Linked DNA regions of Macaca mulatta. The protein of the gene in region 6 purifies or fractionates together with the protein of the main gene of each other region. This does not show direct contact. Links are inferred from orthologs where the notes say so. Each region holds a gene or a part of one and is shown on either strand. Other genes may lie near its edges.

Region 1 (4,006 bases), on a different chromosome or scaffold from region 6:
CAAGTCACGCCCAGCCTATTGTTATAATCATGCTATTATGTTATTGTTGTTAATCTCTCACTGTACCTAATTTATAAATTCAATTTTTCTTTTCTTCCCTATTTTTTACAAAATGAACTGCAACTATAAAAATTAACGTTTATCATAGTGAGAAAGGAAAAGTAGCTCATAGCAATCTGTGCTATGCGAAGCAGGCAAAATTTATCAGGCTCAGAGAGAAGTGAGTATGGAACCTAATTAGGGCCCATGCCTGGAGGCAACTGCTTAAAGGCATTTTGTATCTGACTAGGGTGCTGCTTTACCCATTATCTTCATGTGCATAGTATCTGTGAGACAAAGAACAATGTATAGCAGATCAATAGCTTGTTATTCTAATGTAAACTTCTGGTAAACAATTTAGGAACTGCCTCTTCTTTTCCTTTATGTTTTATTTTTTCAATATTTTAAAAAATTTTTATCTTTTTTTTTTTTTTCTTTTTGTGGCTCCTTCCAGAGCAGGGCTAACTCCTAGGCAGTGTGCCCAGAGTCAGCCTGTTTTTTTTCAATATCTTCATGTCATCCAATCTTCTTTTCCTTTAAAAACCTACTTGTGGGCTGGTTGTGGTGGCTTGCACCTGTAATCCCAGCACTTTGCGAGGCCAAAGCAGGAAGACTGCGGAAGCCCAGCAGTTTGAGACCAGCCCAGGCAACATAGTGAAACTGTCTTCAAAACCAAAACACAACAAACAAACAAACAAACAAACAAACAACCCTATTTGTAACCGCTGCTAATCAGAGTGTATTTTCAGGGCAACTTGAATCTTTGCTCCTGAAGGCTGTCCTCAAAACCTGCCCAAATATATTCTACTTAATGTTAAGTTTGCCTCAGTTTTTTTCTTTAGGTCAACAATTGGTATGACCCAGTAACCCTAGAGCTTGGTCATAAAGCTTCTGGGCCTCTGGGGCCCTTGCCACTTCCCTCCTCTATTATTTCTGTGGCCCTCATCTCCTTTCCCACTGGGATTCCCATGAAAAACTTTACAAATAGAGCAGTGACAGTTGAGTTCCCCAAGGGCTTGCTTTGAGGTAGAAAGGAAGAGTGGTTTGAAATTCCCTTACCTTGTCATTATCATAAGAGTAATTAAGACATTAACTATATAATTGACTCTTTAACATCAAACTCTCACCACCCAAGAATGTAAACTGCAGAAAGAGAAGAACCTGTCTGTTGGTTCACAGATTAAGCACAGCCTAATATTTGATACACAGTAGCCCCTCGTTTAAACATGTGAATGAGTAAATGGAGTAGAAGCCTTACATGAAACTGTAAAAGAGCTCTCACCAAAGGTTTATGGTTGATTATCCTATCTCTCCCATCCCACTCACCTGTCCATTTCCTGGTTTGGACATGGTTTTGCGGGCTCGGTGGACCTTGGGCTGTCCCTCTGGGCTAGTGGTGGCTGGAGGGGGTTCAGGCCCTGCTGCTGCAGCTCCCTGGGCTCCCGGCATACTCAGCAGCCTCATAGCCAAACTCTGGACAGATGGAGGTGATTTTCCCGCCCCTGTCATTGACATCTTGGCCCGGCTAGGACACGAACCCCCCTTGCTGGGGGAAGAGGGGAATGACTTTGTGGCATGGCCTAAAAAACAGGCAAGTAGAAGGCAAGATAAGAAGGAAAGCAGAGTCAGAAACTTCCCACCCACCCCCCAGGCTACCCAGCCTCTCACCCAGCAGGATCCGGCCCCCATGGAGGTCCCCATCTCCCTCAAGATTCTCGGATTCATCCCCAATGAGTGGTGTAGCCCCTACAGGGGTGTCAGCCCCCTCATCGCCAACAGTGACAGTGACAGAGGCTGGAGATGAGGGGCCAGCAGGCTCCAGGGAGTCGGGGGTGGCCTTGGGCAGGGTCTCTTCACTACGAGGGGTGTCCCCCAAAGAGCCATGAACTGTAGAGGAAGAGAAAAAGTTCAGAGCTAAGGGCTCCGGAGATCCTGTGTCTAGGGAAGGTGACGGTCCAATTGGGGCCCGTTTTAGCTGCACTCACCTCTCTCGGTGGCTCCTCTGGTTTCCTTCTCCAGCAGCAGCGCCCCCATCTCAGCGGGGGCCTCCCCCTGGGAGGGGAGACAAGGGACAGGAGGGCTGGTCAGCCCAGTAGAGAGTTGGGGGGTCCAGGATGCCTGGGCCCTGGGAAGAGAGAGTAGGCTCCGGGGCCTACCTCTTCCTCTATGGGGCCCCCCTCTTCCGCGGCCTCGGCTGCCCGGAGGGGCCGCACGACCCCTCCCCCGGGCCCGCATCAACCCCCTCCCTCTCGGTAGACCCCGCATCTCTGGGGCCGAGAGAAGAGGAGGGGGAGGGGGCGGGGCCTCCGTGCCCCGGCCCCGCCCCCTCCTCCCGGCTGCACGCGCCGCTCCCCCTTTGTCCCCCAGGCCGCGGGGACCCCGGGCACCAACCCCTCCAGCACCCGCTGCCCCCCAGCCCGGTGGACGGCCCCTCGTGCCCCTCACGCGTGCTCCTGGGGCCCCGGCGCCCGCCGCCCACTCAGGGGCAGCCGGCGGCTGCACGCGCGCCTCCGTGCCCACTCCCCCCACCTCCCACCCCCTGGTCCCCTCATCCGCCCCCGGTGCTGGCCCCCCGGATTGCTGGAAGTCCCGCCCGGGCCCCCCGGCCCCGTTGCACCCCCGGAGCATTGCACGGGCGCGCGCTTCCCCCGGGCGCGCGCGCGGGCATGCACCCGCCTCTCCCCCTCCCCTTCCGCACCTCGGCGGCCGCCGCCGCTGCAGCTCCCGCCGCCGCCGCCATCGCCGCTTGCGCGGGGGGCCGAGCCGGCGCGCGGCCGCCCCGGGTCACGTGGGCGAGGGAGGGAGGGCGAGGAGGAGCCTTAAAGGAGCCGCTACACGCTTTCTGGCCATTTTCCCCTGACAGCGGCTTCGGAGATGGCTGTGACTGTCCTAAGCTGGGAGCTGCAAGGGAGAATTCCTGTCATTCCTGGCCTCAGCTCTGCAGGGACCGAGGGCGAGGCACGCCTGGGCCTAGGTGTGGCGTCTCTGTCCCCATCTGGTTTTAGGTAACAAGCGGAGCTTCTGAACCTCCCGGCTCTCGGCAGCGGCTGTATTTCCTCTGGCCTGCTTGGGCTTTTCCCGCCTCTGGTTGCTTTTCTGCCTTTCTAGTTTTTGGGTTACCAGATAGAAGGCTCGGCCTCAGTTTTGGCCTCGCCTTTCTAACGAGCAAGAAGAGGGCGATAGGGACGCGGAGGACACCTTTGTTCTTGGCTGCTTCTAGCATATTGCTTCATGTCCCCTGGAGCAGCGTGCCCTTTTGAAAACCTGTGGCAAAATGTCTCTTCTGTTTATATCAGGCGTGTTACACCTCCACACGCATTAGGGATCCAGGTAAGCCCAGCGGCCCGAACGTCATTACTGACTGGTGACACTGCAGTAAGTAAACCTTTTTTGCCGAACACTTCATAAGCACAGTCAGGTACTCCGTGGGTCATAGCCCAGCGGACACTTTAAGTATAAATGATGTACACCAAGATAGACAACCTCGATAGCTGTATTTAGGGTACCATCCTTTTAGGTATTACGTTTTGGTCGAGTTAGAAAATATCTGTATGATTTCACACGCAGTATTTGACACAGGCAGGTGGGGCACCTGAGGCCAATTCAAGGCCTTCTGGGAACTGTAGTTCTCTTTGGTTAACTATTCCAGAGCTTTCTGGGAATTGTAGTTTTTCCCTGCACCTTAATCCAAACTTAGCTTTTTTTTTTTTTTTTTTTTTTTTTTTTTAGCTTTCCTGAAGACATGAACCATTTACCCCAGACAAAATATGACCAACACAGATTCCTGCTTACAATTTCCGTGGGCAGGTTGGCCACCTGTAGCTCATCCCTAGCACTGATCTAAGTCCCTCAAATAGAGTTCATGTGCATCCCCACGACTGCCATCACTTGTACCGTGAAGTACCTGGCTAAGTGTTGAGATAGCAGAACTGATGGAAGGCTGGGGGCGGGGACTTGGGGGAGTCCC
Region 2 (3,500 bases), on a different chromosome or scaffold from region 6:
TTCCTACTAAACTATAAGTTCCATGAGGGCACTGACTATGTCTTCTCTTCTATATTCATTCAATGCCTGGTACAATAGGAGTTTTGACATTAATTAAGTAAAGAATGAATGCATCAATGAAATAAAGATACATATCCTATACTTATCTCTAGATATTATAAAAGATTAACTGGGAAAGTTAATGTTTATAAAGAGAATAGAGTGAAAGCAGAAGGAAAACACAAACATCCCACATCCATTTAAGAATCTGGAATAACTCAAGCAGTTTTACCTACTTGGAGGAGCAAGTCTACATCCAAAATCACACATATTACAAAAATTCTCACCTTTAGATTACTGTTTATATGCCAAACAAGGATGCTGCAGAATTGTTCAAAGCTAGAAGAATATATAATCTCATTTTAAAATAAAAATGAGCAACAGGTTCTCAAAATTTTTTCTCAGAATAGAGAATAGGATATATTTACAATAGTAACTTTCATTTGGGAGTTGCCCTGTCAAAGAAATATAGGATGTGGAGTCATATTTAGTAAGGACAAATAAATGGACTATGATAAATTAGTAAACTCATCAGCATTATTAGAATCACTGTGAATTTAAAAAGACAATCAGTAAATGGTATAAAACAAGTATCAAACATGAGCATACAGTCCAAAAGAAGGAACCAAATTAAAGTCTACAGTGATCACAGCTATAACTATACCACCTGCAAATCTGTGATGATCTTTTATGTGGTCTTCTCCTATAACTTCCCCAAGTCATCGGAATCACTCCCAACAATTCCTGGTTCAGCCCTCTTTCTGTGGATTTTTTCTATTATTTTATTTGTATATTCCTCCTGACCTACCCCCCTTTGACTCACCTGTAGTGTCGGGAAATCTCTTCTTCCACCTGGGTAATAAAATCACATTTGGTACATGAGTGTTCTTTGCTTTCCTTGACAGCCTGCTGCCCATCCGATCCTTGCAGGTGATTCGCTTCTTGTTTGACATCTGATGCTTGGGACTCATGCACACCCTCATAGTGAAAGAGGAGTACATCTACGTCAGGGGTGGTGAATGAACACTGATGGCACTGATGCTTGACTCGTGAGCTTCCGGCTGCCCCAGGAGACAAGTGCAGAAGCAAGAGTGCACAGTGGGAACAATTACTTTTTCTACAAGCAAACGGATAAGTAATTTCTCCAAGGTGCTTTTCTGGGCTGCAAAGTCCTCTGGGACAGAATGGACAGTGTTTAATGGTACACTTGTGAATGTTATGGAGCTGTTGATAATGACGGAGAAGAGGCCCCACTACAATTACATCAGGGCCATGGCTTTTGGAATATCGGAAGTCACAGAACTGACAATTATAGCTCGTTACCATATTATCCTCGGCTCCCTTGCTGGAGAAGTCCTTCTTTTTAGCCCCACTCGAGCTCTTGTCTGTCTTGCTCATTGTCTCTCCTTCTGAACTTTTGGCTAGATCATTCTGATTAATGACAGAGCCCCTGGAAAGCTTATCATTCAACTCTGGATTAAGGCCGCCTGACTGCACTGCTCCGTGCTGCTTGCCATAATGTTCTAGCAGTTTAAGTGAGCTAGATGACTCACAGCTGAAACTACAAAATTTACACCAGTAGTAACTGGTGGCCTCTGTACCATTTTGTCTCGAGGAATCGAGGGGCTTGATGGGCACTGAGTACCCAACAGGAGTGTCATCTCCTGCTTTGACTGTTATCTTGTCCTGCCATTTTCCCAAGTCTCCAGAATCACTGGATCGAAGTGCCGGGATGGACTTGTTAGAGTTTTTCTCTGAAGGTTTTGCAACCTCAGAGGAGGGGAGAGAAGCTTTTATTTTGTTTGGGTGAGTCTGAAGAAAATGTTGTTCTAATTCGGTGGACGAGTTGCCCATATAAGTGAAATTGCAGAATTTACAGCGGAAATACTTGGTGTTTCCTTGGCAATCTGGTGTTTTCCGTCCAATGCCAATGAATGTTCCACCTGAAGTCACCTGGAGAAAAGAAGAAATGGACTTTACTTCTGAGGTGTCATTAATTCAATGGGTCCTCTGCAGGGGAGGGGGAGGGTACTGCCAAGTATTCCACATCAAAAAATACAATAGTACTCCTGCTTATTATGAAATCACTTGAATAATCACAGAGCCAAATAAATTCACTCTTCATTTCTCAACAGTTACTCTTTGAGAGGCTCATTATGTTATACACTGTAGGCCAAAGTAACAGGTGAGGGTAAGTAATAAATGTACCATAATTTGAAAGACTGAATAATACATTTTTTAAACTAAGAAAACAATTTTCAACACAGTACGTTTTACTATTGCCTCCTTCAAATCACACCCCTACAGAAGCATCCTAATCACATGGGATTTCTTTTCAAAAGGTGAGGCGTTACTGTCAAAACTAGAGGCACTTGCTCAAAAAGTACTCAAGGCAGATGTTCTCCAATGAAATATTCTGTTCAGTTCCTACAGCAATGAGGCTGCAGGCAAAGATGAGGTCTCTGTTTTAGGTAAAATACAGGTGCTCAAATGACCACCCAAAATGGCTTATAATTAAAGCTCAGTGAAACAAACAAACAAAAAGATGAATTGAGTATGCAGGAAATACTAGTGAAGAAGAACCATGTAAATAAAGAATTTTGAATGTTTCCCAATCTAGAACAAACAAACAAAAAAGAAAAATCTTCCAGGGCCTTATTTGATTACGGTTCTGTTTCATTGCAAAGGGCTCCCAACTTCTCACATGAGTAGGTCATGGAGATGTTTGAATGGCAAAATAAAATAATTCCATCATAAAAATAACTACAGCTCTGCTTTCTTTCCCAAATTATGAAATTACATGGAATCAGGACTATGAAAGCCTTCAAAGGGCACTTTACGTAAAATCCTTCCTCCATTCTCAGTGTGTATCTCAACAGGAGTACAATTAAGCCACCACTGAGCAGCCAAAATTCAGAGTTTAAAATAGAGTTTTTGAATGAAATACTCCAAAAAGGGGGGAAAAAATTCTCTTCCAACCACCAAGGAATTTTTAAATTTTCCCAGCAACCAGATGTAATATATTAAGCAAGTGGCATAATCATGTTCTGCCTTCTTCAACAGCTGTTCAAAAATGACACGTGTGATTGCTGTTCATATCCAAATCACTCCATGAGAAAAGTCTCAGGCATCTCAAAATCATGTAAAGGCTCTATGTGAAATGCAAATAATATTGCTGTAGTACACTGAGAGATATGTTTGTACCTCTATTGTACAGGACTAAGATTGAAGTATTCTTTTTGCTATTAAAAAGAGATGTGACCTTGATCAAGTTACTTAACCTCTCTGGCCAATAGCTTCTTCAACTGGGGCAACCTCTAAATTCATATCCAGTATTATAGTTCTAAGAAATGTGCATTAATACATAAACAACTCAACATTTACTGTACATTAAGATAGGAACTTACAAAAGTTTCCCACAGCCTTTAATCAAAGGATGTAATGTTTCGCATTAGGCAATG
Region 3 (3,500 bases), on a different chromosome or scaffold from region 6:
AAGTGCAGTGGTGCAACCACAGCTCACTGCAGCCCTGACTTTCCGGACTTGCGATCCTCCCACCTTAGCCTCCTGAGTGGCTGAGACTACAGGTGTGCACCCACGCCCAGTTAGCTTTTCTGTATTTTCAGTAGAGATAGGGTTTCAGCATGTTGTCCGGGCTAGTCTCTTAACTCCTAGGCTCAAGTGATCCTCCCTCCTAAAGTGCTGGGATTACAGGCATGAGCCACCGTGCCTGGGCCAAATTTTCAATTAAGTAACAAAAAAGGATGACAAGCTCAACACAGAACATTGTACACTCAACACAAGATAATATTAGCAGGCTAGAGTAATTTATTTTGCATATTGTATATCACAGAGCCTGATAAATTTTTTTTTTTTTTTGAGACGGAGTCTCGCGCTGTGTCACCCAGGCTGGAGTGCAGTGGCACGATCTCGGCTCACTGCAAGCTCCGCCTCCCAGGTTCACGCCATTCTCCTGCCTCAGCCTCCGAGTAGCTGGGACTACAGGCGCCCGCCACCACGCCCGGCTAGTTTTTTGTATTTTTAGTAGAGACGGGGTTTCACCATGTTAGCCAGGATGGTCTCGATCTCCTGACCTCGTGATCCACCCGCCTTGGCCTCCCAAAGTGCTGGGATTACAGGCTTGAGCCACCGCGCCCGGCCGAGCCTGATAAATATTAATATTTGGTAATTACATATTAATCTCAACAAATATAAAATAACTTTTAAAGATAACTTTGAGATCTCTCATTTCCATTTATTCAAATGTGCATTTCATTGTCCTTTTTGAGACAGAGTTTTGCTCTTGTTGCCCAGGCTGGAGTGCAATGGCGTGATCTTGGCTCACCACAACCTCCGCCTCCCGGGTTCAAGCAATTCTCCTGCCTCAGCCTCCCGAGTAGCCGGGATTACAGGCGCCGCCACCACACCCGGCTAGTGCATTTCACTGTCAAACAAATCCTCCACTGGAAGCAATGTTTACCACCAAACGTATTTGATATTCCTAAATTGACAAGCCTGTGCTCTAATTTCTAAACCAGTATAAGCCTCACCTTGCTCAAAGCATAGAGATCCAGGATTTTTCTCTCTACCACAGGGATCTTCAGAGTAGATCCTTGAAGCTCCCAAAATTTTGCTAGTTGATCCAAGAAATCCAGTCTCACTCTGGTCATTGCCTGAGATTAAAATACAGAAATAAAAACTAAGATTATTAAAATACAGAAATAAAAACTAAGATTATTAAAATACAGAAAAACTAAGATTATTAAAATACAGAAATAAAAACTAAGATTATTAAAATACAGAAATAAAAACTAAGATTATTAAAATACAGAAATAAAAATAAAGTTACGATTGAAATGAACGAGGACAACAGAGCAGGGGTCCCCACCCCCCGGGCCACGGACTGGTACCCGTCAGTGGCCTGTTAGGAACCCAGCCGCACAGCAGGAGTGAGCGGCGGCAGCAGGCAAGCATTACCACCCACTCTACTGTGAACTGCACATGAGGGATTAAGGTTGTGCGCGCCTTTTGAGAATCTAATGCTTGATGATCTGAGGGGGAACAGTTTCATCCCAAAACCATCCTCCATACCCCCCTCCATCCATGGATAAACTGTCTTCCATGAAACCAGTCCCTGGTGCCAAAAAGGTCTGGGACCACTGTAATAGAGGTATTCATTTCTCTAAAGAAATTCAAAGACTTTTCATTATTGCTTATTTCAACCCGGTAAAACTAGCCAATAGTAAAACTAGCCAAAAATAAAGAGGCAAAAGACTTCTAATAAACTGTATTTATTCAGGCAAAAAGGTCACTCTGATTTATGTAAAAAGTTGTCATATTAGCAACCAAAACAATTTTTGTAAGTTGGTTTAACTTTATGCTGATCAGAAAATTCAGTAAATCAGATCCTCCTCAGTCTCTAACATTCTGTCATTTCATCCATAGGTAACATGCACACTTTAGGTGCATCAACTCTATACCTCACTGATACTAATATTCTTTGTCAAGCATCTAATTACAAGACTAAAAAGAAAAAATATGTATTGCGGCCAGGCGCGGTGGCTCATGCCTGTAATCCCAGAACTTAGGGAGGCCAAGGCAGATGGATCACCTGAGGTCAGGAGTTCCAGACCAGCCTGGCCAACATTACAAAACTCCATCTCTACTAAAAATACAAAAATTGGCCAGGCATGGTCGTTGTAACCTCAGCTACTAGGGAGGCTGAGGCAGGAGAATTGCCTGAACCCAGGAGGTGGAGGTAGAAGTGAGCCAAGATCGTGCCACTGTACTCCAGCCTCGCTGACAGAGCGAGACTCTGTCTCAAAAAAAGAAAAAAAAAAGTATGTATTAAACTCTCAGAAATATTTTGGGGGGGGGGGAACACTTCAGAATGACATAATAAACCTTTGCTATCAATAATTTTCCTTCTGTACTCTAAAAGTTTTCATATCACAATGAAAAACCTTCTGAAAATCCGCAGACAGGAAAAACAGCAATACATAAATAGACTTCCATTTAGATAATTTAATATACATTAGTAATGCTTAAAGGCAGATCTTAATAAATCAGATTAGCACTCCTGGCAAAGTTCCATTAAAACCAAAACCAAAACAAAACAAAACTAACTTTGAAAACTAGGGTTTTAAAACATAATTTAAAAATCCATTTTCCAAGAATGAAGGGAGACAGAAATCTTCGGAGATTAACAAAACTTTTAGTAGAGTAAGAAACACTAGAGAAAGTAGAATTTAAGAATTCTAAGCATTGAAGCTAAACATTGAACATTTCCACTAGAACAACAGGGCTAGAGACAGTTTCTCATGATCTCAGTTAAACGGAGAAACCATAACTACTTTGCACAATTTTTTAAAAAATCACACTCTTCCTCCAAACATCAAGTAACTATTCAATACCAATTAACACAAACTCCAGGCTGTGGTCCATGAGCTTCTCAAAGTTCTCTACCTACAGCCCGAACACAAAGAATGAATCAGGAGGCAGAAACGGTGACAAAACACTTACCTCAAGTTCATTCAGGCGCTGGACTCTTGGAGTGAAACGAAAGCTTTTTACTTCACAGGCGAATGGAGGCTGCCAGTCCTAAATAGAAAGTTTTTTTAAAAAAAACACAGTGGTATTTAAGCAAGGAATGCGTTATTTATTCCCTTAAAGGGGGGTTTTGCCATAATCACGGTGCTAATAGACTAACTTATAAGACTTCTTTATTATAGAGACAGAATGAGCAATTCTTTTAGATAAAATAATTTTAATACAGGTTGAGTATCCCTCATCTGAAATGCTTGGGACCAGAAGTGTTTTGGATTTCAGATTTTTCCATATTTTGGAATATCTGCATATACATAAGGAGGTATCTTGGAGAGAGAAACCAAGTCTAAATACAAAATTATTTTGTCTCATATAGTTATACACATAGCCTAAAGGTAATTTTATGCAATATTTTTAATAATTTGGTGCATAACGCTTGTGTACACTGG
Region 4 (4,171 bases), on a different chromosome or scaffold from region 6:
AAATAAAGCACTAACACAATGAGCACTTATCCATTCCATTTCCAAAATCAACTTACCTTCTGCACCTTCCTTTTGCAGATTTGAAATCCAGATTCTCACACAATCACTGGCCATCTCTTCTGTTTCATTCAACAGCATACACACCACTGAGTGTCTCTCACTATTAAATACATTAACAGAGTCCGGGCGAGGTGGTTCATGCCTGTAATCCCAGCACTTTGGGAGGCCAAGGTGGGTGGATCACCTGAGGTCAGGAGTTTGAGACCAGCCTGACCAACATGGTTAACCCCATCTGTACTAAAAATACAAAATTAGCCCCCAGTTACTTGGGAGGCTGAGGCAGGAGAATCGCTTGAATCAAGGAGGTGGAGGTTACAGTGAGCTGAGCTGAGATCACACCACTGCACTCCAGCCTGGGCAACAACAGCAAAACTCCGTCTCAAAAAAAAAATAAGTAAATAAATAAAATACATCAATAGAAAGTACACTCACCTTATTCTGCTTTCTAATTATGAAAACAGAAGTGCAGGCCGGGCGCAGTGGCTCATGCCTGTAATTTCAGCACTTTGGAAGGTCGAGGCAGGAGGATCGCTTGAGCCCAGGAGTCTGAGACCAGCCTGGGCAGCACAGCAAGACCCCGTCTCTATTAAATAAGTAAACAAACAAACATAAACAGAAGTGCAAATGCCCTAATCCAAAATTATTTTTAAAAAAGATACTTGAGGCCTGGCATGATGGCACATGCCTGTAATCCCAGCCCTTTGGGAGGCTGAGACGGGTGGATAACCTGAGGTCAGGATTTCAAGACCAGTCTGGCCAACATGGTGAAAACCTGTCTCTCCTTAAAAAGTACAAAAATTAAACCAGCATGGTGGCGCGCACCTGGAGTCCCAGCTACTTGGGAGGCTGAGGCTGGAGTCTCAGCTACTTGGGAGGCTGAGGCTGGAGAATCGCTTGAACCCAGGAGGCAGAGGTTGCAGTGCGACGATATGGCACCACTGCACTCCAGCCTGGGGGACAGAGTAAGACTCCGTCTCAAAAAAAAAAAAAAAGATATTTGAGATTAAATAATACAGAGTAACTGCTCTCATCTTCCCGCCGCAAACACCATACTTTAATATGAAATTTTAAATGGCTTTTTTCCCCAAATGGGAAAGAAGGATTCCTGTGTCTTGATGGGAAAGCAAGCAGTTTAAGAGTAAAACATACTAATAAGCCATGGCAAACAGGTGAGATACCATCAGAGTGTGCGCTATTGTAGGAAACAGAATGGAAAGGCGTGAATGGGAGTCTCTGCACTTCATATCTGCAAAAGAAGAGAATAAAAAGGTTAACTCCAGATTTAGAACAGGTTTATTCCCCTGTTTAAAGCAGAGCCCAAAAACATTTTAAATCAAAAAATGAAAATGTGCTGGTTAAGCCAAATTTGTAGATGAACTCAACCTTCTTGTCCTTAGTATATAAACGGTATCCCAGGTGTTAGAAGTTATTTGAACATTTTTATGCTACACCACCTTGACATTAAAGGATTTTTTGAAATCTCCAATCTCTTCTTTAAACTTTTCTTAAAACTATCATTAAAATTAGTAAAATATGCTTCTCTATTGAATGGTTAACCTAACGGGAATGACTTCTAACCGTAAGAATCACAGTTAAAAGGTTCATTTTAACAAATGCTCTTCCCCCTGTAAGGAGTGACAGGTAACCTTTTGGGATCCCCAATGTACACACCCCTTTCTCCAGCCCTGCTAAAGTTAAACGTTGATTTGAGGACAGACAAGTGCCTCCTCGCAAGGATTGCCTCCCTCCCCCTGTCCAACACGCCGTTCTCTGCAATAATCCATCTGCATCTTGCATTAACCCACCCGCCCAGTGCCGGTGAGTCCAGGCCAAGTCGCAGAAGGCCAGGAGTGAGGGGTGAGACCTGTGAGCCCATCTGCACCCGCGCCCTCCCACCTGGTGGCACACCTGCCCCGCAGGCGCCCACCTGGAGCCGGGACCGCCCTCTCCCGGTCTCGCGCGCCTGCCCCACTCGGAGCGCGCGCCACGCGCCGCGCAGGACCAGAGGGCGGGGCCCCGGGCAGCAGGGAAGCGAGGGCTCGGGGAGAGGGGGCCCCCCGGGCTCACTCCCTCCCTGGGGACCCAGCGGACCGGAGCGTGCTGGGGGCGGGAGCGGTACCTTTTGGACAGATCCATGAGGACCCCGGAGAAGAGCTTCTCCCCGAGGCGGAACGACACGACGAGCGCGTCCTCAATGATGTGGTCCAGCGTGACCCGCACCTCCGAGCCCGGGATCAGTTGCGACACCGTGGAAACCCCGCCCGCCGGCGGCACGAGCGCCAGGGCTACGGGCTGAGGCAGCGGCGGCTCCTCGCGCTCCTCGGGTGCCGGGGGCTGCTCCGGTGGCGATGCTGGAGAAGGTGGAAGTTCGGGCCCTCCCTGAGGCGCGGCTGCAGCCGACTCCGCCACCCGAACGGACAGTTTCTCCTCAGCCTCCAGCTCCGGCCCCGCCGCCTCTGGGCTGCGGGCGAGCTCCCCCGGCGGCGGCGGTGGCGGCGGGAGCGGCGGTTCGTCGGCCTGAGGAGCGGACTGCTGCCCGTCGGTCTCGCCATCCGGCACAGACGCTTCAGTGGCCGTGACCGGGAGGGGGTCAGTGCCGGCCTCACTGCCGGGGATGGGCTCCATCTCCGGCTCGGCCTCGCCGGCGCCCCCCTCCCCGGGGGACGCTGCAGTCGCTGCCGCCTCTGCAGCCACGGCCGCCATTTTCTTCCTGGCTTCTCCCTCCTCCAACTCCGGCTGCAGCGGCGGCGGCGGCGGCAGCGCTGCTTGGTTCCCTGGGCCTTCCCCTCCCTCCCGCGAACACTTTCGTCCCGCCCTTTCCCTGATGCTCGTTTTTGGCACCTCGCCATTGGTTCCATTCTACACCCCTCCCGCACTTGTGATATTCCATTGGCCAGGGGTGGACGTCTATCATCTAGTCAGTCCATCCTTCCCACGCAGAGTAGGAACTTCTCATTGGCCAGATGTGTTGTCAAGTGTGGAATCTGAGTGGAGGAATAGGGGGCGTAATCCAAGGGGGCGGGGGAAGTCACAAAAGAGGAGCCATATACTCATCCCCTCTTGCTATTGGCTGGAAGAGGAAATAAAGTTTTATGGTTGGCTTACGCTCCTGCCCATTATCAGTCAGGTCTTCGGAGGTGGGAGAAAGGAGGGAATCATGTGGCGTGCTATTTCTTTCAAAGGCGCCGAGGGGAGGAGTAACTAGGGAATGTGGGAGGGGAACCGCTTCCCAAGAATCTCTGCGCAGAGATCCTTAGAATAAATGTTATTTCTAGGCGCGGACTTCTTGCGACCGCGTGTGGGCACGACAGGCTTCTCTGGGAAAGACAACTAAAGTTTGAAATATAATCCTACCGACACTTTTTGAGTGCCTACTATGCTAGTCACTGCACTAGGTGCTGGGGAATAGAATATTCAAGACGTTCTCCATAACCTCATGGCAGCTGGCTCACGGCAGCCACTCCAGCTGCCATAAGGAGTACGAGGAGTGTTTTCATTGACTTCTAGGAGTACGATGAGTATTTTCCTTGACTTCTCTCCACTTCCTAGGAACAAAGCACCTACTTACTAACATTTCAAAAATAGGAAAATGCTCATGAAAGAGGAGAGACACCATCCTCACTGGATTAAACTGATGACTGTTCCAGAAAAGAGTCTTGAGACATTGCTGGACTGATATGTGAACACTGCTTGTTCTCTCCAAATACACTGCAAAGTGGACGCACCTGATCCCTGCAAAAGCCTTTATGTTTCCTGGCTTCTCCAATGCCAAGAGAAGAAGCTCTCTCACTTCAGTGTCCTAACGCCCCTACTTCTCTTACTCTCACGTCAAGTCTCTTCGTTTGTTATCTCTGGAAGAATCTACTGAACCTATTTCTCTCAAATGGCACCTCAGAGTCAGCCTTTTTTCTGGGAGAATGCCTACAGGAGAGAGGGAAGAAAAGCTGCTAGCATTGAGAGTAAAAAAAATAAAGTCCTGAAGAATAATTACAGCTAGTGTCTTTTAAGTACCATGTACCAGGCACTAATACAAACACTATAGCATATCATCTCAATCCTTAAAATTTCGAGGCACAAAGAGGGTGCCCAAGGTTACTCGGCTGGTAAAATG
Region 5 (3,934 bases), on a different chromosome or scaffold from region 6:
GAAACAGCAGCGCCCACTCCCAGCTGCCTCACCAGCCATTACCCAGGCTTCGCCCTGGGGGCAGCTGCCACCCAAGGGAAAGCTCCTCCCCCTCAAAACAACTGGGAGGGCCAGGTCCCGTAGCTGAACCCCTACAACCTGACAATGTCCTCTATTAGCAACAAATTAGGGGCAAGGGACTCACAATGGGGGTGTTTTCCTCCTCACTTTCTGCCAAGGATGCACCGGACAGGGCTGAAGGCGATTCTTGGTCCTGGGACAGGAGGAAAAAAGAAAAATGTATCAAGAACACACAACCTGGTGGGAGAAACCAACCCTTTCTGCCAGAAGGAGGCAGAGAAGGGAATAAGAGGTCAAGGAGGTTCGGTTCTTCTATTATTACCCCACCACGCGCACAATAGCCCCCTCCTGCGTAAGTGGGGCAAAACAGCGCAAAATGTATATCTGGGGCCAAAACCCATGTGAAAGGCAAAATCTGGAAAGGAGGGGGCCTGAGGACACCGAGCCTGCTCCCGGGAAGGGAGGGGGGAAGGGAAAACGTTGCCTCGACGCCAGCAAGGGATTTGTATTCCCTCCTAAATTCGCCCACCCAGCGTCATCCCCGTCACTCCAAGTACCAATTCAGAGGTAAGGGGCGGCTCGCGTCACCGCTGGGCCGATATCGCCCACATTTGCCCCAAGCAGTTGCCCTGGGCCCGAGGTTTGCCCCCCCCTGCAGTCGGCGACCGGCAGCGCTGCCTCCCCGTCCGCCATTAGAGACCCAGCCAAACAATACGTGCGGAGCAAGAGCCGCGCAGCGCAGCGCCGAGGAAGAGAAGAGCGAAGGAGGGGACCCGGCGGGGCAGAGGCGGCAGCCCTCACCCCGAAAAACTTGGGGACCTCGGCTCCGGCGGACAGGGTGGGAGCGCGGCCCCGAGCGCGGAGACCCGGCCGGGGCGCCCCTCCCCCGCCCCCCGCAGGAGAGAAAGGAAAATGCCCCGCGACCTCCCCGGGCGGCCGGCACCCCCGCCCCGCCGTCCCGCCGCCCCGCCGGCCCCGCGACCCCCGCCGCTGGCGGCCGCCTCACCCAGCCCTCCCGGCCTCGCCCGCACTCTCCCAGCCCCTCGGGCCGCACGCGAAGGCGCCTGTGACATGAGCGCAGCCCCGAGCTGCCCCCGAGGCCCCGACGCGGCAGCGGCGACGGCGGCCGCGCCGCGGGGTATTAATCCCGGGTCGGTGGGAGGCTCCGGAGGCTGCCCTCACCCATCTCCGCCTCCCTAGTCGCCTCCGCCTCCGCCTCCTCCTCCGGAGGCTGCGCTGCTCCCAGCCACCCCCACTCTCGGCGGCCCCGGACTGGAAAGACAGCGGGGATAAGCCTCACCCGGTTCTGGCTGCGGCTCCGCGGAGCGAACCTCCCCTCCCCCGGCCCACCCCCCTTCGGCGACACGCACAACTCCGCTCGGTCCAGTCCCGGCTTTAGCGCTGGTGAGGAGGAGGAGGCGGAGGAGGCGGCGGCGCGGCCGAGCCCGGGGAGGCCCCGCCCTCCGCGCGCTCATTGGCTGACGGGGGAGGCGGGCCGGAGCGCCTCGGGCTTGCCCATTGGCTCCAACGGCAGTCCTTCAGGGCCCCCCCTCGGTGGGGTGGTCCGAAGGGCTGTCCGTCAGGTGCGGGCCACTCCCCCGGCCCTGCCGTTCCACTCCCGCCTCCGCCGGCCCTCGACTCCCGGCCGGGTCCCCTCCCCGCCGGTCCCCCGCCCCCACCCACCGGGTCTGCCAGGGTCAGGAGCCCGAGATTCGCTGCCCGCCGCACCGACCCCGCTTCGGCTCCTCAGGGCCCGGGGCTCTCCGGGACCTAGACAGCCCGGGAGACTCCGGCGGGGCCGCCTGCCCTCGCCCGAGCCTGGGCGCCCAGGCCGCGGCAGCGGCTCCCAACGCCCCTGCCCGAGGAGAGCCGCGGCCTCGATGCCCCATCGCCCTCCCTGTCCAGTTCCTTGAAGGCCCCTGCGAGGGGCGAGGCCGGGGAGGCGCTGGAGCGGGGCCGAGTGGGCTTTCGGGGCCGCGGGCGAACTGGAGCCCTGACTGCGCTGGGGGCAGTGGAGGCCCTTCCACCCTCGCCGCGCCCCGTGGGGAATAGTCCCCCACCTCCCGCCATGGCTGCAGCAGGAGGAGACGACGTCCTCCATTTTGTCGGCACGACTGTGGGAACTTGGGACCCCCTAAAAACCAAACCCCGTGGGGCCGGGAAACTTGTCCCCGGGAAGCCCCGACTGGGCTCTGCCATTCGGCCAAGGGAACAGCCCCGGCTGCTGGCGTCTGCGTCCGCGGGGCCGTAGGGGACGGGCACGACGGTGGAGAGACCCAGACGCCGCTCCCCGCCTCCATCAACCAAGATGGAGGGAGCTACGGGCTCCCCTGGAGCTGGGCTCCCGCCGGCTGGAGGGGCCGAGGCCCGCCCTGGGGCGTCCCTGGGCGCCGCCGTCCTGTGCTCCGCAGCCCGGGGCGCTGGCCCTGCCCAGGCCGCTCTACCGCCTGCCACCGTCTCCTGGTCCTCAACTGTTGATGGAGACTCCATGGAGGCTCCCTCCACAGCCCGCTCCATCGCGGGGCGCACTCGCTGCGGCCCCCGGGGGAGCGGAGTCAGGGACAGACGGCGACGGCGCCCGGGGAGGGCGGGCCCCACAGGCCACCTCCACGAGGGGTCTTCTCTTTTGTTCCTCGTCTACACCTACGTCTTCGGCGGACGTCATGGTGCTGAACCATTTCCAAGACTCACGTAAAGATGGAAGCGGTGCCGCTTGCTTCTCGCCCTGGCGGTTCTTAGTGGGATTACAACTGAGGGTGTTGGTTATTTTCCCACCCAAATGGATGGGCGACTTCTCCATTTCACCATTATCTGACACCATTGCCTATTAATAAACAGATGTATGGTAATACAGTTTCAAGTTCAACACGATATTGATGAACATGAAGTTTTCAGTGAAGTTAATCACCCATGAAAGACTGATGTTTAATAGACGCAACTTCACAGAGGAAATCTAGTAGAAGTTGAATTCAGTCACTCATTGAAAAATAAAGTAGGCTTTCCACCTTGTACTAAATACCTTGAATACACTGTTCTTTTCTATTGAAAAAAATTAATAAAATGTACTTGAACCAGCTTTTCAAAAAGTATCACTAATTTTTAGGAAACTTTTGTAACTAAAATTTTTTAGTTTTAAATACACTAAAATAGCCTCTTAAGATTTTATATTACACAGTGCTGTTTTAGACTGAAAAACTATCATCACAACAGAAACATCACAACAAAAACAGCCACTATCATCAAAACAGACACATCCTCTACTACCAAATTGTAATAATTTGGTGAAAACTTGCACCATCCCTTTTCTGCTGCCAGCTCGTATTGCAGTAGCTTCAGCTCATTGAGTTTATATTTAGAAGAGTAAAGTAGACATACTTCCAAATAAGCTCTGTGATAAACTTAAATGATAGATTAGGTTGCCATGTACTGTTCAGTTGGAGCTCTATACTGCTACTAATTCCCTAGTGTTATTGCTGTTTTATATAACTAATGAGCACCTGTGCTAATTATGGTATTTATATGCACTTTTTTAGTTCATTCAGGTACATTTGTCCATGAAACTCTTCATTGGTTTGCTAGTCTGATACCAGGGAGAATTTTCGTTGAGAATTTAGAACTGGGAAAAAAGTATTTGTCATAATGTTAAAAGCAGACTTAATTTTACATAAAAGTAATTTTAAAAATAAATGTTTGAATGTTCATAACAGCATTCATAATTTCCAACATCCCTAAAATGTCCATCAACTGATGAATGGATAAACAAAATGTGGTACATCCATACAATGGAACATTATTCAGACATAAAGAGGAGTGAAGTTCTGATATACGCTACAACATGGACAAACCTTAAAGACATTATGCTAAGTGAATAAAC
Region 6 (3,300 bases):
TGCCCCGTCTAGGTTTTTATAAATGTCTTACTCAAGTTCAAACCTCCAGCTTGTGAATCAACTGTGTCTCTTTTTTGACTTGGTAAGCAAGTATTAGGCTTTGGGGTGGGGGGAGGTCTGTAATGTGAAACAACTTCTTGTTGTCTTTTTTTCTCCCATTGTTGTAAATAACTTTTAATGGCCAAACCCCAGATTTGTACTTTTTTTTTTTTTCTAACTGCTAAAACCATTCTCTTCCACCTGGTTTTACTGTAACATTTGGAAAAGGAATAAATGTCGTCCCTTTAGTGGTGCTTTAATGAGTGGTCTTCTGGGGGTAGGGTGAGAAGATTGGTGGAAAGTAGTTCACCTCAAACCTCAAGGGAGGAGTTAAGGCAGGCAGGTAAGTTTATGGGGTTTTCTTGTTCAGGGGGTTGCCCCAATACTCATGGACACCAGAAGGGCAGGGAAGTAAGAGTTGAAACCAACCCAATGACACGTAGGAAACAAGCTCAGGAGGATATAGAAATGTACCATTTTATTACAAAGAGGCTCACAAAAATGAAAATAGTATCTCAAAAAGGAAACTAGACTAGCAACCTCCACCTGCAGAATTAGGAGAAGACGGGGCAGGCAGTGTTTCTTGGCTCACTTGAGGCCAGTGGGAAGGTATGAAAACAGAACCAATCTAAAAATGGCTGATGTTACCTTAGGAGCCTGAAAAGAACAGGAGATCCTTGAAGACCCAGCCACCCCTTCTAGAATATTCAATAAGGGCACCTTTCCAAAGCTACTAAGCAGGCACTTCGCATTTCAGGATTTTGTCTTACGGTTGCATAAAAGCATCCCTTTCACCCAGACCTGGCACCCTTTATGGTTCAAAGTTAAGAACTGGGGAAGAATGGGTGGCAATGTGGCCCCTGGAAGAGTTCACCCAGCACAGCTGCCCTGGGCTCAGGGCCTTGGTTTCTGTCCCTGGGGATATTTATATTTAATAAATTTTTATATAAATACACAGAGAAATAGAAAATATAAAATCTGAGGGGTTGGGGGAGAAAGGTGAGGGACTCAGCAGGGAGCCAGAGCTGGAGAGGTCTGTTCAGGCCAACTTGACCTCCTCCTTGACCCTGTGGAGAGAGCAGAGACTGGCATGAGATGACCCAGCCCAGAGCCTCGGGGCAAAAGTGCAGACACAGTGACTTCCACAGGATCCCAGGTGACTACTGGGGGCTGGGGCTCCTAGCTCTGCCTAGAACTGCAGAGCTGGACAGACTGGTCCCTGAAAGAGGCCTTTGTAAGCTGGACCAGCTGTCCCTGTGCCTTTCTTCAGAGTAGTGGGACAAAGGGGCTGGTGCTCCAATGCCAGGGAGATGGCTGCAGGCAGCTCGTTCCTCACCCTTTGGCTTCTGGCTTTTCCTCCTTGGTTTTCTCCTCTTCTGTGACTTCTAGAACACAAGAGTACAGGGATGGCTAAGGGCAGCACCTCTGGAAAGACCCGTGAGGTCTTCATTTACCCTGAGACCCCTTCCCCAACACTACGCTCACTGGACATAAAAGAGAGAAAAGCCCATCCCTGGTCTTCCCAGTGAGCCCTGTAGAGAACAGGTTGGACCGGTTTCCCAGCCTGCTACAGCCAGAATCTGGTGGGCGGAGGCAGCCCCCTGGGAAACTGGGGTGCAGTGCTGGGAAAAGGGCTTGGGTGGTATGTGAGAGCCGTGCTTGGCCAGTAGAGGTTCGTTGTTTTGTGGGCCCTGCCACTTCTGGGAGACACTGAAAGGCTCAAGGAACTGAGGAAGAGCCCCACAGGAGCTGGCAGGGCCTGAGTCACTCCCTCCTCCCACTGCCCTACATAGATTCATCCTCTCAGGCTCAAGACCCAAGTCCCGGCTGAACCCAAACCCACCTTTCTTCTCCTCTGGGTCTTTCTCTTTTTCATCCTCTGTTTTGACTCTCTTGGCTTTTTTGAAGTTGGAAGAGTTCTTGCGGCCCCCCTCTCCCTCCTCTTCAGAATCGGAGAACTCTTCCTCACAGGCAATTCGTTTGTCGGAGGAGCAGACTGGGAGGGAGTGGGAAGCATGGGTGAGAGCAGGCGGGTGCCGATCTAGCTCAGCATCTATGCCCAGTGCTTCCCTGCAGGCCCTCCAAGAGACACCAAGGGAAAGGGAACCAGAGAAGAGGGAGGAGCTCAGGCTCCCTAACCTGTTCCTACAGGCACTGGAACTGGAAACAGATTTCTCCAAGGTGGGGAGCTTGGAGAGTGTGCAGCCAGGAATGGTGGTGGAAGTGGGGGCTGCCTACTGAGTGGAAGGCATAGGGCTCTGCGTCTAGGTCTTACTCGAGATGCGCTTGTCAGGGTCTTCTTCGTCCTCATCGCCACTCTCCTCAGGGATGGCGTCCTCAGGAATCGCCTGCATTTGGACCCCAGGTGCATGCGGCAGCATTCTAAGGTTCTCAAACAGCCGCTGTCTGTGGCCAGTGGGAGAGAGTAGCAGGGCTCTGGTCAGGGACAAACCAAAGTCAGGAATGTTCAACCAAGGGGTGGCTGGAGGATATACTCACTTGATCTTCTCCAGGTACTCATTCGTGTTCTGGTTAGTCATATTGGAAGGACTGATGTGGAGCTTGAAATCCGGTCCAAAGTATTCAAAGTAGTCGTTGTATGGAAGCTCTGATTGGGGCAGGGAGAAGACCGTTAAGAGACCTGGCCACCGCACCTGAACCATTTGCACGTAAGCACCCTAAAGCATTTGTAGGTTTCTCTGGGCCCTTGATCCATCTGTCAAACAGAGGAGAATGCCTCCAAGACACGGTGAGACACGGGTACCTATGGGATTTCCATCTTGTTAACATCACTCTATGTCTATACCAGTGGTGTATATGTCGCTAGGAGAAGGTCCATGTTCCTGGTTTAGGACACTTGAGCCCATGCTCATTATGAACGCTCCCTTCACTCACTACTCCAGTTACTCTACAGAGCAGAAATTCCAAAGCTGTAAATTACCACTGAGAACTTTGTCCAGACCAAAAGCAGAAGGGAGAGGGGACAGAGCTAAAAAGGACTAGGGAAAAAGTGATGGTTATGGTCTGCTGATCACAAGAGGACATGCAGGGGACTCAGTGACTAGTATCAGAAGAACAGTGGTCATATGACCAACGGGGAAGGGGTTATAAACTTAAGGACAGATGAGCTCCAGCTCCCACCCAGCCCAGCCAAACCTGGCCCTGCAGCTATTACCATTAGGGATCTCCGTATCCAGGGCCACAGCTGTCTCGTATGTCCAGCACCGGGCAACATTACGAATGGTGTAACCACCACCTCCC
Region 7 (3,500 bases), on a different chromosome or scaffold from region 6:
GTGGATTGCCTTGGGAACCCAGTAACCATATTTAGTATGATTTCTATGGCAAAACTTGTTGAATTAAAAATAAGTAATAAAATTGATAATCTTGACATACAACCTGTAAAATCATTTTGTGAATAGGATGCATGAATAGGCAATGTATTTGATTGTTAGTATTTTCATATTTACTACTAGGGATGCATGGGAAATGCATAAATGGTGGGCAAAGTCATTCTTCTTTTCCTATTTATAAATAAAAAATGAAGAGGAAAGTGAAAGAATAAGTTAGCTATATAATATATATATACGGTCTGAAATTGTCTCTAACTTTTTATAACTACAAGTTGAGCATCCTAAATCTGAAAATCTGAAATCCAGAATGCTCTAAAATCCAAAACTTTTTGAACACCAATATAATGCTCAAAGGAAATGCTCATTGGAGCATGTTTGACTTTGGATGTTTGGCTTGGGGATGCTCAACTGGTATAATGTAAATATTCCAAAATCAAAAAAAAAAATCTAAAATCCAAAACAATTCTGGTCCCAGGCATTTTAGATAAGGATGCTTAACCTGTACTTTTAGTTAAAAACAAACCTTTGGAGGAAAAGCTGTTTTTCTTTTATGTTTTAAAAACAAAGCAGTCAAAAAATCTGATGAGTGGCATGAATTCTAAAATTTGTAAAGTATTATTTCTGATATTAAAGGAAGATGTAGATTCCTTCATGAAACAGCCTGGGAATGAGACTGCAGATACAGTATTAAAGAAGTTGGATGAACAGTACCAGAAGTATAAGTTTATGGAACTCAACCTTGCTCAAAAGAAAAGAAGGTAAGTGTAAAACTTTCTAAGTTTTGAAAATCGTATATGGCTTGAACTTTAAAAAAATTGAGATATAATTTACATATGATAAAATATTCAGATATCAAGTCCTCCAAGGTGGCTGTACCATATGAAATTCCCACCAGCAATGTACAAGAGTTCCAGTTCCATATCCTTGCCAACACTTGGTATTGCCAGTCTAAATGTGGTTTTGAAAACATAATAGAATGGTTATTAAAGACTGTATTCCAAAGCTTTCAAAATCATAACATCTTATATGTCTAGTTTATCCTTCTAATTTTGCCAACAAGATTAGAGACCCACAGGGTCTGGGGCACAAGACTTAATTAGTTATGAAATCCCAAGATTTCATAACTAATAGGCATAGGAAAAAAGGTATCCTTACTCTCAACTCTTTATTTCCCTACATAATTTTATATAGCTTATAAAGTCAATTCACTGTAATAAATATTTGTAGATCTCTGTTTTGTACATGTGCCAGCATTCTTCTGTGAGATAAATATTTATGGAATGCCAGCTAGATGCCACATACTGTTTTGGGTGAAATAACATCCAGTATCTGCTTTCAACAAGGACACAGGACTGGGCATGGTGGCTCAAACCTGTAATTCCAGCACTTTGGGAGGCTGAGGTGGGAGGATCTCTTGAGTCCAGGAGTTCAAGACTAGCCTGGGCAACTTAGGGAGACCCTGTCTCTACAAATAATTAAAAAATAATTAGGCTGGGCGCGGTGGCTTGTGCCTGTAATCCCAGCACTTTGGGAGGCTGAAGTGGGCGGATTGCCTGAGCTCAGGAGTTTGAAACCACCCTGGGCAACATGGTGAAACCCCCGTCTCTACTAAAATACAAAAAAATTAGCCGGGCATGGTGGCACGGGCTTGTAATCCCAGCTACTCGGGAGGCTGAGTTGGGAGAATCCCTTGAGCCCGGGAGGTGGAGGTTGCAGTGAGCCGAGATTGCGCCACTGCACTCCATCTTGGGCAACAGAGTGAGACACTGTCTCAAAAAAAATAATAATAATAATAATTAGCTGGGTATGGTGGCATGCACCTGTGGTCACAGCTACTCTGGAGGCTAAGGTGGGAGGATCACCTGAACCCAGGACGTTGAGGCTGCAGTGAGATGTGATCATGCCCCTGCACTCCAGCCTGGGCAACAGTGCGAGATCCAGTCTAAAAAGCAAACAAACCACACAAAAAACCAGGGACACAGGTTGGGGGGAAATTATAGGTATATAAATAAAATTAGCACACAAAGTAGAGCAGTGGAGGTACTTCGGTACAAAGTAATGAGTTACAGGGGATGGTAACTCATTACTTTGTACCAAAACACCTCATTAATCTGGAGGGGCCAAGGAGGTTCAGAGGAAGCTTCTAAGAGGAACAGATACCTGTGTAGAATTTCAAAGATTAGTTATGAGTTTGGAGGCAGACTAAAGTGAGGAAGGGTGGTCTGGGCATAAGGCACCATTTATGCAAAGGTACAGAAGTTTGTAGATGTATTTTCTCATTTGATTTTGGTGACAGTTGTAGAAATTTGAATATGTACTTTGTATTAGATGAGATGAAAAGTCATTGACATGGAAAGATGGAGGGTGTAAATGGACAGAAGCAAGATAGAAATCATTAAGAACAGTATACTCTTATTTTGGAAAAAAATGTATATATGCACAGGAGTATCTAGAGAAGTCCACACTAAAGGCATATTAACAGTGGTAATCTCTGGGTAGTTAGAATATGGCATTTTTCTTGTTTTTGCTTATCTGTATTCTTAATTTTTTACAATGTACATGTACTGCTTTTGTGATAGTAAAAGTTTATTTGAAAAAGAAAAAGCCATTGGATTTGAGATCATCTACAGGGAGGTTACAGATAGAGAAGAAAATGTGCCTTGGGGTGGGGTGCAGTGGTTCATGCCTGTAATCCCAGCACTTTGGGAGGCTGAGGTGGGCAGATCACTTGAGCCCAGGAGTTCAAGACCAGTGTGGACAACGTGGCAAAACCCTATATCTACAAAAATTAGCTAGGTGTGGTGGTGCATGCCTATAGTTCCAGCTACTAGGGAAGCTGAGGTGAGAGTATTGCTTAAGCCAGGGAGGTTGAGGCTGCAGTCAGCTGTGAGTGTGCCACTGCACTCCAGCCTGGGCAACAGAGTGATACCCTGTCTCAAGATAAAAAAAAAAAAAAAAAGGAAAAGAAAATGAGCCTTGGTACCGAGTCCTGGGAGAGAGGGAAATTTGTGTATCAAAGTTACATTGCTCTTCTAACTAGTAAATTAATGATAGACGAAAAAAAAAAAAAAGAAAAAAGTTATATTGCTAACTCTACAACTGTGGTATATAGCAGGATACTCACTCTAGCTTAACATATGGTCTAGGCCTAAATGTGGGGAGAAGGGGTAAAAATTCGAAGCACTGAGGAAGCATCAGTGAACATTGGTGTTCTGGATGAGAACAGTGTTTGTCTAGTGTTTTAAAAGAGAATGGTAGAGTTGGAGATAGTGAGTTAGGAAAACTTTCTTGAGTTTTACCTATTTTAATAGTGGGTTGGTTATTTTTTTGAGACAGGCTTTCTCTCTGTTGCCCAGGCCAGAGTGCAGTGGTATGATCACAGCTCACTGTAGCCTTGACCTCCTGAGTTCAAGCAGTTCTTCCACCTCAGCCTCCCAAGTAGT

What was found.
Region 1: the proteins of HDAC1 (region 6) and EHMT2 purify together in Homo sapiens (co-immunoprecipitation; 7 studies listed by BioGRID and IntAct, counting the BioPlex papers as one, with this or other methods). This does not show direct contact. The link is inferred for Macaca mulatta from reciprocal best matches to the Homo sapiens genes HDAC1 and EHMT2.
Region 2: the proteins of HDAC1 (region 6) and TRPS1 purify together in Homo sapiens (co-immunoprecipitation; 3 studies listed by BioGRID and IntAct, with this or other methods). This does not show direct contact. The link is inferred for Macaca mulatta from reciprocal best matches to the Homo sapiens genes HDAC1 and TRPS1.
Region 3: the proteins of HDAC1 (region 6) and KDM5A purify together in Homo sapiens (co-immunoprecipitation; 4 studies listed by BioGRID and IntAct, counting the BioPlex papers as one, with this or other methods). This does not show direct contact. The link is inferred for Macaca mulatta from reciprocal best matches to the Homo sapiens genes HDAC1 and KDM5A.
Region 4: the proteins of HDAC1 (region 6) and PWWP2A purify together in Homo sapiens (co-immunoprecipitation; 5 studies listed by BioGRID and IntAct, counting the BioPlex papers as one, with this or other methods). This does not show direct contact. The link is inferred for Macaca mulatta from reciprocal best matches to the Homo sapiens genes HDAC1 and PWWP2A.
Region 5: the proteins of HDAC1 (region 6) and ZMYM2 purify together in Homo sapiens (affinity purification with mass spectrometry; 7 studies listed by BioGRID and IntAct, counting the BioPlex papers as one, with this or other methods). This does not show direct contact. The link is inferred for Macaca mulatta from reciprocal best matches to the Homo sapiens genes HDAC1 and ZMYM2.
Region 7: the proteins of HDAC1 (region 6) and VBP1 purify together in Homo sapiens (affinity purification with mass spectrometry; 3 studies listed by BioGRID and IntAct, with this or other methods). This does not show direct contact. The link is inferred for Macaca mulatta from reciprocal best matches to the Homo sapiens genes HDAC1 and VBP1.

Annotation. Positions count from the first base shown.
Region 1 is NC_133409.1:150,415,598-150,419,603, reverse strand, and holds the start of EHMT2 (histone-lysine N-methyltransferase EHMT2), read right to left. Parts: upstream 2,801-4,006; 5' UTR 2,780-2,800; coding exon of another isoform or gene 2,738-2,779; 5' UTR 2,668-2,737; coding exon 2,025-2,667; intron 1,927-2,024; coding exon 1,708-1,926; intron 1,620-1,707; coding exon 1,366-1,619; intron 484-1,365; exon of another isoform or gene 405-483; intron 1-404. UniProt on the Homo sapiens protein: Histone methyltransferase that specifically mono- and dimethylates 'Lys-9' of histone H3 (H3K9me1 and H3K9me2, respectively) in euchromatin.
Region 2 is NC_133413.1:125,971,339-125,974,838, forward strand, and holds part of TRPS1 (zinc finger transcription factor Trps1), read right to left. Parts: intron 1,993-3,500; coding exon 863-1,992; intron 1-862. UniProt on the Homo sapiens protein: Transcriptional repressor. Binds specifically to GATA sequences and represses expression of GATA-regulated genes at selected sites and stages in vertebrate development. Regulates chondrocyte proliferation and differentiation.
Region 3 is NC_133416.1:1,160,124-1,163,623, forward strand, and holds part of KDM5A (lysine-specific demethylase 5A), read right to left. Parts: intron 3,106-3,500; coding exon 3,028-3,105; intron 1,179-3,027; coding exon 1,056-1,178; intron 1-1,055. UniProt on the Homo sapiens protein: Histone demethylase that specifically demethylates 'Lys-4' of histone H3, thereby playing a central role in histone code. Does not demethylate histone H3 'Lys-9', H3 'Lys-27', H3 'Lys-36', H3 'Lys-79' or H4 'Lys-20'.
Region 4 is NC_133411.1:168,981,767-168,985,937, forward strand, and holds the start of PWWP2A (PWWP domain-containing protein 2A), read right to left. Parts: upstream 2,801-4,171; 5' UTR 2,764-2,800; coding exon 2,180-2,763; intron 1,294-2,179; exon of another isoform or gene 57-1,293; intron 1-56. UniProt on the Homo sapiens protein: Chromatin-binding protein that acts as an adapter between distinct nucleosome components (H3K36me3 or H2A.Z) and chromatin-modifying complexes, contributing to the regulation of the levels of histone acetylation at actively transcribed genes.
Region 5 is NC_133422.1:1,840,430-1,844,363, forward strand, and holds the start of ZMYM2 (zinc finger MYM-type protein 2), read right to left. Parts: upstream 2,801-3,934; 5' UTR 2,708-2,800; intron 1,467-2,707; exon of another isoform or gene 1,067-1,466; intron 254-1,066; 5' UTR 185-253; intron 1-184. UniProt on the Homo sapiens protein: Involved in the negative regulation of transcription.
Region 6 is NC_133406.1:208,542,809-208,546,108, forward strand, and holds the end of HDAC1 (histone deacetylase 1), read right to left. Parts: coding exon 3,215-3,300; intron 2,648-3,214; coding exon 2,539-2,647; intron 2,446-2,538; coding exon 2,315-2,445; intron 2,036-2,314; coding exon 1,883-2,035; intron 1,425-1,882; coding exon 1,376-1,424; intron 1,107-1,375; coding exon 1,079-1,106; 3' UTR 501-1,078; downstream 1-500. UniProt on the Homo sapiens protein: Histone deacetylase that catalyzes the deacetylation of lysine residues on the N-terminal part of the core histones (H2A, H2B, H3 and H4).
Region 7 is NC_133426.1:161,513,092-161,516,591, forward strand, and holds part of VBP1 (prefoldin subunit 3), read left to right. Parts: intron 1-690; coding exon 691-815; intron 816-3,500. UniProt on the Homo sapiens protein: Binds specifically to cytosolic chaperonin (c-CPN) and transfers target proteins to it. Binds to nascent polypeptide chain and promotes folding in an environment in which there are many competing pathways for nonnative proteins.